Macaca fascicularis: one gene and its partner. The protein of the gene in region 1 binds, or shares a complex with, the protein of each later gene. Links are inferred from orthologs where the notes say so. Each region holds a gene or a part of one and is shown in the gene's direction. Other genes may lie near its edges.

Region 1 (4,136 bases):
GGCGAGTGCGGGCCCCACGGGTGCACCCCCCACTGACCCGGGACCCGCCTGCACCCCGAGGGACGCGCGTCACTGCGCCCAGCCGGAGCCGCGAGCGCGCAGTCCTGGCCTGGGGCCCGCGCGCCTTGGGCTTTCTCCCTGCCCGCCCCTTTTTCTTCCGCCAAAACCTTTGACCAGAGTCTCCTTGCCAGCATTCCTACCTCCCTTTGGCCAGCTATTTGTGCCAGGTAGGAATCAGGCTGCACTTTGGCTGTGTGTGTAGACGCCAATCCCCAGGAGGTGTGTGACCTTTTCACCTTACCCACAAACTCCCTGGGAGGTGGCCCGTGGGCATTGACCCTTCTCTGGGGACAGATCGGTGACCGCAACCTGTTTGTTCCCTGAAATGTCCTTGCTTTTCCCATCTACACACGCTTCCTGCAACAGTTCTCGGAAAACCCTCGGAGATGGGCCTGGGGGGCATCCAGCGGGCTGGGGGCACGGGCCGCTGTGGGAAGTGGGGGTGGCAGGAGCTCGAGGGCCGGCGTGCACGTTGCCTGTGGTTGGGAGCGGGCACTGTGAGGGCGCAGCCAAGAGCACCCCTCCCCCGTCACTCTTTCCCTCCCTCCGGATGAACAGAGAAACGGAGGTCACCCGACCCCTGATTTCCACACCCCTCCCTAGCACCTGGGCTCCCAGACAAGGTTGGGCGGTGTCGGGAGGCGCTTGCCCCCCAGCTTGGAAGGCGCAGCACCTCCCCCCTCCGGTGTTCCCTCTGCCCCAGAGGAACGGGCACCAAATCTCGGGAAACAATGAAGCCTCCGCGGCGCGCAGAGGGCACCCGGGAGCGATCGGCACCCAGCCGCGCGCCCTGATGCGGGCCAGTGAGGCCGCGTGGGGCTGTAACCCGGCCTCGCCCGCCAGGCGGTCTGACTTCGCTTCACACTGCAGCGACACTGCCACCCCTCTCCCGTCTTCGCGGTGCGGCTTCCACTCCAGCCCGGCTTTCCCCTCCTCGTCCTCCAGTTCTGGGCGGGGGCCTCCAGGGGTGCCCCACTGCTCCCCGCCACAGGTCTCAGGCTGGCGCGATGAGGAGTGGCAGGGGGTGACCCTGCGCTCCTCGCCGCCGCGGGCGCGGGCCCCAGGATTTGAAGTTGCGAGAAGCAGCCGCCACCTCCCGGGCGCTCCGCACTGCGCGGCAGCGGGATCTACGCCTCCAGGAGCTGCCCAGCTCTCCCTCTAGGGGTGCAGAGCGAGCACGCGAGGTGGGCTGGCCAGACTCCGTGGCTGGCACCGACCTCCGCGCCCCTTCCTCCGACGCCCGCACCCACGCGCCCGGGGCGCAGACTCCCAGCGCCTTCCTTCCCGCGGAGATCCCTGCAGGATCTCCGGGAAAGACAGACAGACGGACGGGGAGAGCACTCGGAGGGAAAGTTGTTCCTCCCAGTCTCCTGTCAGGCAATTACAGGCGAGCCCGAGCGGGGAGAGGGGCGGGATGAAGCGAGGGAAGGGCTCCGGAGTGGGGGGAGGCCGCAGGAGGGGAGGAGGGGGTGCAGTTGGTGAAACTCCTCTGTCTCCCGCTCATCTTTTCATTGCTCGTTCCTCTCCTTCCCGCAGACACCCGGACCTCCCCTGGGCGCCAGCTCCGCGGCTCCAACGGGTCCAGAAACAAGCCGGATTTTTTTTTTTTTTTTCTTCCTGGAAATTGGCTTTGGTGTGTGTTGCCCTACCTCCCTCCTCCCCCTCCCACCCACAGCCCCCCCTCCCTTTTTTTTTTTTTTTTTTTTTTTTTTTGAGACATGGCCCGGGCAGTGGCTCCTGGAAGAGGAACAAGTGTGGGAAAAGGGAGAGGAAGCCGGAGCTAAATGACAGGATGCAGGCGACTTGAGACACAAAAAGAGAAGCGTTCCTCTCGGATCCAGGCATTATTGCCTTGCTGCTTTCCTTTCTCCAAGACGGGCTGAGGATTGTACAGCTCTAGGCGGAGTTGGGGCTCTTCGGATCGCTTGGATTCCCCTCTTTGCTGCATTTCCCCCCACGTCCTCGTTCTCCCGCGTCTGCCTGCGGACCCGGCAAAGGGAGAATGGAGAAGGGGTTGCCGCTCCTCTGCGCCGCGCTCGCCCTCGCCCTCGCCCCGGCCGGCGCTTTTCGCAACGGTAAGTGACAGGCGGAGGCGCGGGTGACAGCGGCGCCCAGGCTCCCAGCTGCCCGCCCCGGACCGGGGCTCAGGCGGGGCTTCCCGGGATCAGCCGGGAACAGCCGACTCCCGGGCAAAGGAAACTTTTATCTGGGAGGAGAGATGAAGAAATGAGATCAGGCGGTTTAGGGCAGGAGGATTTCAGGTCTTTGGGCTCCCTCCTGACGTTGATCGTTGGGCTGCGGGGCTTTTCCTTACCTCTGCTACAAGACAGAGCTGCCTACCTTCCCGGATCAGCACGCCAATTATCTTAATAATGTTTCCTCCCAAAGGCAATTAGAAGAGACTCCCTTTCAAAAATCTGATGGCTGTTGAAAGTTAATGAACACTTTACCAGGAGATCTTACTTCCTGGTTCCTTTGCTGTGCCCCTAAGCCGTTTCCTCTGGTGGGTGATGGCCAGAGATACCGGTTTGTGGGTTGATGAAACTCCCTCCCCCGCCTTTGTACATCTTCCCTAATCTGTCTGGAGTATGACTGAAAGTTACATAGTGTCAATACAGGAATCTGATATATACAGTGTAAGGCACCAGGATATCTGAAAATCCCTAAGCTAGTTGCAGCTTCCACTCAGCTTTTAAAACCACTCACTGTCAAGTAAATGAAAAACTATACTGGGGTCTAAACAGTACCATGTAACCTAAATAATGTGTTTTAAAATGGGATCTGGTTGTAGGCATGTTTGACTTCACACTGTAAAGTAAGTGCAGGCAAGGGTATGCAATTATCTTTACAGTAAGTCGTCAGCAATTGTTATTAACTAATGATCAAATATTTACTTTTGTCTGGCTTAGATTTCAATCACAGTAATTAGAAGAAAAGAACATCCACTACTTACTGTGGTATATTGTTTTAATAAGAGACCGCGAGTGGAGGGCCTCATACCAACAGGAATTTAAATCACATCTTTATGATGGAAGTTAATCTCTCTAATATGCTTTTTCAAGGTTTTGTGATTTCAGCAATGGATTTCCCTCAGCAGCTACCAAGCAGTATTCTAAAGAGATGCTTAAAGCAAAACACATGCAAAAAAAATTATGAACATGGAGTTCAACTTATTAGTGAACCCAAGTTGATGGCATTTTTCTATAATCTGGCAGGAAAGCAAGACACAAAAAATTATGAATGTAGAGTTCAATTTATTAATGAACCTGAGCTGGTAGCATCTTTTTATACTCTGGCAGGGAATGAAATAGCATTCTCGTCCAACTGAAAGAGCTCAAATGGTTGGACTAGAAATTATAGTAACCCTGTCCTCCACAACTCTTTGAGAATAAATCCATAGCAGGGGTGTTCACAAGCTCAATGCAAAGAGCTATCAGACTTTAGGTTGTAAACTACACAAATATATATGCAGTACACACACACACACACACACACACTTCTTAATTTTCTTAGCAGAAATGTGGGGAATGCTGAAAATCTGGCTTTAGTTGGTGAGCTTGACCAGCAAAAGCCATGTTGCTATGCTTGAAGTGACCAGAGCCAGAAAATGCCACTGTAACTCAGCAGAACCTCTTAAAGCCATGTCCACCTCCTCTAAGTAACCAGTGTCTGCTAAATTAGTTCATTAACCTTATTTAGGACTAATGGTCCAGAGTCATTAGAAATTGCTCTTTCTTAATCAACTGCTAGAGAGATTTAACAGAGCCAGAGAGTCTAGCAGTCCACATTATCTTATTACACTGTCACTTTCTCAGAAGTCACAGATTAAAGAGCTCTGGTGTGGTACCAAGTCCACCTAAATGTCTTCTGAAGTGACTCTGCTGAGTGACTAGAACCAGGGCTGTTTTATTTCACTCCTGTAACAGATGCCAGACACTACCATGATGTTTGTCCAGAGCTGGAGGAGACTTAATGAGACGAGGTCACTTTCCAAGTTTTCTGCACATTCAGAATAATGCAAGAGTCTCAGTAGAATCACAGAACAGAGTCCAACATGATCATTAGCTGAGATTTTG
Region 2 (4,281 bases), on another chromosome or scaffold:
GACCACTCATGTTCTCTCGTGCAGGCCTTGTGCCCTCGGTGTCCTCGGCCTCCTTGGGTGCCATGTGGGGGTGACTTGGTGGGGTGTTGGGAGGGGTTCTGAGTAGGAATGGGTGTATGCCTCGGCGTCAGTGTGCGCTCGTGTCAGCTCTGAGCACCTGAGGGTCCCTCCGACGGCCAGCGCCCAGAGCTGCACCTTCCGAGGCGGCTGGATGCCTCCCTCTAAGCGCGCGCCTTGCGCCCGGGTCACCCATGTATGCCCCCCTCTCCGCCCCACATCGCCACTGCCAGGGTGGCTCCGTGCGGGCCGAGGGGACCCAGGGGGGTGTCGGCAAACATTGGTAGGGCGAGAGCCGGCGAGCCAGGCGGCGGCGGGTGGGAGAGTGTAGGGAGGCGCCCCCTGCCCCCTCTGCCAGCAGCTCTCCCTCGGTCTAGATGTCAGCCGCGAGCTCCGAGCCAGCGAGAGCGAGCCAGAGAGGGAGCGGCGGCGGGCGGCGGGCGGCGGGCGGCGGGGAGGAGAGGAGGCGAGGCGAGGGAGGGAGGAAGGGAAGCAGGGAGGGCGGGAGGGAGGAGAGGAGGACCCAGAGAGCGCCAGGCAGCTGGAGTTTTTGCAGCGCTTGGCCGGGCTTCAATGCACAGCAGCAGCGAGCCGCGGCGGCAGCAGGCAGCCCGGGAGCTCCGGCGGCGGCCGAGCCAGCGGCGGCCCCGCTCCCTGCCCCCTGCAAACTTTGCTAGCAGCCCGCCCGGGGGGCCGGGGGCGCGCCCGGGAGGCCCGGCTCGGCCCGCGGCCGAGCTCTCCTCTGCCGCAGCGCCAGCCGCCGCCACCACCACCGCCGCAGCCCCGCGCCTCCCCGGGGAGCAGCCGGCGGCTCCCGAGGCCCCCCAGCCCCGGCCCCAGGGCACTGCCCGGCGAATCCCCCGGCAAGGGTGGGGGCTGCAGCGGCGCGGCCGGCCGCGGGCTGCCGGGGGGCGGCCGCCGCTACCCAGAGAGGCGCGCAGAGGCGCCGAGAGCGCTCCCCGGCGGGTCCCCCGCGCACTCGCCGCGCCCGGGCAGCGGCCCGACCGGGCGAGCATGGGCGGCGCGGAGTGACGCCGCTGTGCCCGCTTGGCATCAAGGACATTCAGCCCGCGGGGGTGGGGACGAAGGGGGGCAGCCCCGCGTCGCCACCGCAGCCCCCGAGAGCCGCCGCCGCTGCTTAGACTCGGGGGTTGGGTGGAGAAAAGGGGTGTTCGGAATCGATCCCCATTTTCCGACCTTCTTGTTGGACATTACGCCCACCTTGGACGCCGCAAGAGGAGCTGTCAAGCCCCGCAGGCTCTGATTCGGCGCCCTCCGCGTTCCTCGGTTGCTCCCGGCTTCCCTGTGCCTCGGTGGAGTATTTGCGTTCGGGGCTGGGGCTGGAGGAGGCAGCCACACGCGCGCACACGCACACGTTCAGAGGAGGGCGAGAGGCAGCGGCATAGGCTCCATCTGCAGTGTCAATGCGGCGCTCCCGCTGAAGGAGGGAAACGCGGCGCGTCCAGGTAAGGAGCCGGCCAGCCGGGGAGCGGGGCCGGGCGGGCGGTGAGGGCAGCGCGGTCGGAGAGACCCGGGCCGGGTCGGCCCGGGAATCCTCGGTGCCCTGGAGCCAGCCCGCGGCACACGCACACACACACACGCAGGCACACACACAGATCCACACCGGCACACACGGCGCTCGCGCACCTGCCCACGTCCCACCTGGACGCCCGCGGAGGTGCAGCGGCCGGAGCAGGGATTTCCCGGGTGCGTTCTCCTCTCACTCTCCCGGACTCAGACTTCTCTTTCCCGGACTTTCGGGGTGGGATTCTGTGTATTCCCGGCTCTGCCTCCCACCCGAAAAGGTTGAGGGAGCGATTTTTTAGCTCTCAGCCCCTTTCATCCCTAGCTGGGCTTTAAAACGGGAGAAGTCCTGGGAGGTCTCCGGAGACCCACCCAGTGTCATCGCGGCCCCGTGGCCTTTGGACACCCTGGGATTTCAACGGGAGACAGAACCACAGATATTCGGCCGCCTATTTGGAGAGAGTGATGGCCCAACGCGTGGAGAGGAGGCCACATAGGCGGTTGGGGCTGCAGTTCTGTAGGGCGGTGCATATGGAACAGACACTGCGTTTCCCCAGTAAGAGGCAGCACAAACGCCTTTCTGAAGCGTGGCACTGCTTCCCCGGGAATGCGCCGAGATTTCAGACAGAAAGCGGCTTAAAGCATCGCCGCGTATGTTGCTTGTCTAGGGAAGGTACGGGGGTCATATCCTCCTTAAAAGGTATGACCTTATTCACAGCCTCAGTCCCTGCTTAGCAGCAAGGAGACAGGGCTTGGAGACACAGGACTTGGGTCCCCTCTCACCTCCCTACCCTTCCTTGGCACATGGGGCTGCCTTCCCCGGTGCCTCCGGCTGGCGAACACCTGTCACATGCCTTTCGAGGTGTGTGTCTGAGAAAGATAACTAGAAGGGGGAAGCACGAGGGGTGTAGTTCTCCAAAAGAGGAGGCTTCCCTCCCTCACGACCGCGGCGGGCGGCGGTGCCCACTGGAGGAGGCAAAGCATTCATGGGTCTGCCAGCGTCCCCCAGAGCCCAGGGCTGCTCCGAGTGTAGAACCACTCCACAGAAGCCAGTTCTTTAAGGTCCTATTTCCCGAAAGCATTTTCGTTCTTGTTCTCTCTGGCTGGAGTTTCACAGGCTGCTCATTTTAACTTTTTCTGGAGGAGGTAGGAAGTGTCTGGGGTTCTAAGAGGCTTTTCCATAGTTCCCTTCTTAGGGTCTAAGAGCAACTCATTTAGGGTCTCAGTTGTCATAGGGAGAAGAACATGAGCTCCAAAACAAATTTGGAATTGAATATACATGTACAAGCTCCTGCGTTTCTGGAGCTGTCCCTTTGAGGTACCTTTCTGGGCAACCTGATCATATCATTCTCCCCCAGAACTGAGTAAGCTTGTACCCTCTGTCCAAGATCATGTGTTCAGAGTATCCCACAAACCCACCAGTGGGAAAAATATGTTACGAGTCTTCCAGAACATGATGGGAGAGGAGCAAACATTCTTTTAAACAAGGAGGCCTCAGTGCTAGGCTCAGAATTTGGGTTGTTTTTGTAAATCCTGAAGATGGGGGCTGAATGAAACGGCTTTTTCAGCACCCTGACTCCGCTATTTCCAAACTTTTTTCAGCTCCTGCAAAGGTCTCTGGCTAGGCTGGGGAGAAGCGCAGACGCCCCGGGAGGGAGATTGTATTCCCGCTGTGTGCTGTGTGAGCTGCCCTTTGATTGACTGAAAAGCGTAGATGGAATAAAGCAAATCTCTCACAATGGGGAGACCCCAGTAGGGGGAAGAAACCTTATTTGCTTTTTAAGCATGGTGGGCGTGTGCACACACATACACACCCAAGATATATACCCACATGCGTTCTCAGAGTCTGGCTAAATGTGGTCAGCTCCCCTAGCCATGTGTGACAATGGGGTCCACCTCTGTCTTCGGGGCTGTGGAAGAAATGGAACATTTCTCCCCACATGCCCCTCGAGGGCGTGGACAGGTAGGTCCCACCTACTTGTACAGCAGCACATGGTTTGCAATAGAAATAATGAGCTCCAGCAACAGTGGGTGCCTCCCAGGTAAACAGTCCCTCACGAGACCTGGAAGAGGCAAAGGGATAGGGTACAGGATCTTCCTGAAATGTCTGCATCTTCCCTGCAGACCTCCACTCCTTTCTCTGCTTTCCTCTCTACCCTCTTTCCTTTCTCATGTATTTGCAGCCTCAGGATCCATCATTTTAATGCAAAGCCAGCAGTCATTATGCTGGTTATAAGCTAAACATCTGGGTTCAAACAATCTCCGCACTTTCCGCACTTAGCATTAGGTACCAATTTGGTTTCTAGGACAAGGCAGGCATTAATTAACATCTCTGTAAAGCGGAGTATATATCACGTTTTCCTGGCTCTCTTGCCCAGCCCTGGAGCATGCCATGCTGTCATTCACCCTCTCTGCCACTCTTCTGTGCCCTTCCTTTTAAGTTCTCTGAGGTCTTTCTCACTGGGAAGGGATTCACACTAGAAAAACTCCAGCCATGAATGCTTCTTTTCAGCAGACCCTCACTGCCTGGTAGATGGTGCTTAAGGCAGCTCTCCTGTGAGCACTAGGCGTGGGTCACCTGCAAGCTGCTCCTTCTTGCCCAATCACACCCTCCCGGGGCTCTCCTCTGTCCTCCCAGGACTTCACCCTGGATGCCCACCGGGACACTGCAGACATTTCTGGAGGACTCCAAGGCAGTCA

Evidence for each region. Proteins that work in one complex are often made in the same cells at the same time.
Region 2: the proteins of NRP1 (region 1) and PLXNA4 are in contact, whole or in part, in a cryo-EM structure (PDB 7M0R), measured with the Mus musculus proteins. The link is inferred for Macaca fascicularis from reciprocal best matches to the Homo sapiens genes NRP1 and PLXNA4. Residues at the interface, in NP_032763.2 of Mus musculus: Arg80, Tyr84, Asp126, Tyr127, Glu128; in NP_786926.2 of Mus musculus: Glu272, Lys340, Lys343, Lys345, Leu349.

Annotation. Positions count from the first base shown.
Region 1 is NC_088383.1:34,085,955-34,090,090, reverse strand, and holds the start of NRP1 (neuropilin-1), read left to right. Parts: upstream 1-1,220; 5' UTR 1,221-1,437; exon of another isoform or gene 1,438-1,447; intron 1,448-1,567; exon of another isoform or gene 1,568-1,596; 5' UTR 1,597-2,062; coding exon 2,063-2,135; intron 2,136-4,136. UniProt on the Homo sapiens protein: Cell-surface receptor involved in the development of the cardiovascular system, in angiogenesis, in the formation of certain neuronal circuits and in organogenesis outside the nervous system. Mediates the chemorepulsant activity of semaphorins.
Region 2 is NC_088377.1:174,113,963-174,118,243, reverse strand, and holds the start of PLXNA4 (plexin-A4), read left to right. Parts: upstream 1-1,474; 5' UTR 1,475-1,523; intron 1,524-4,281. UniProt on the Homo sapiens protein: Coreceptor for SEMA3A. Necessary for signaling by class 3 semaphorins and subsequent remodeling of the cytoskeleton. Plays a role in axon guidance in the developing nervous system. Class 3 semaphorins bind to a complex composed of a neuropilin and a plexin.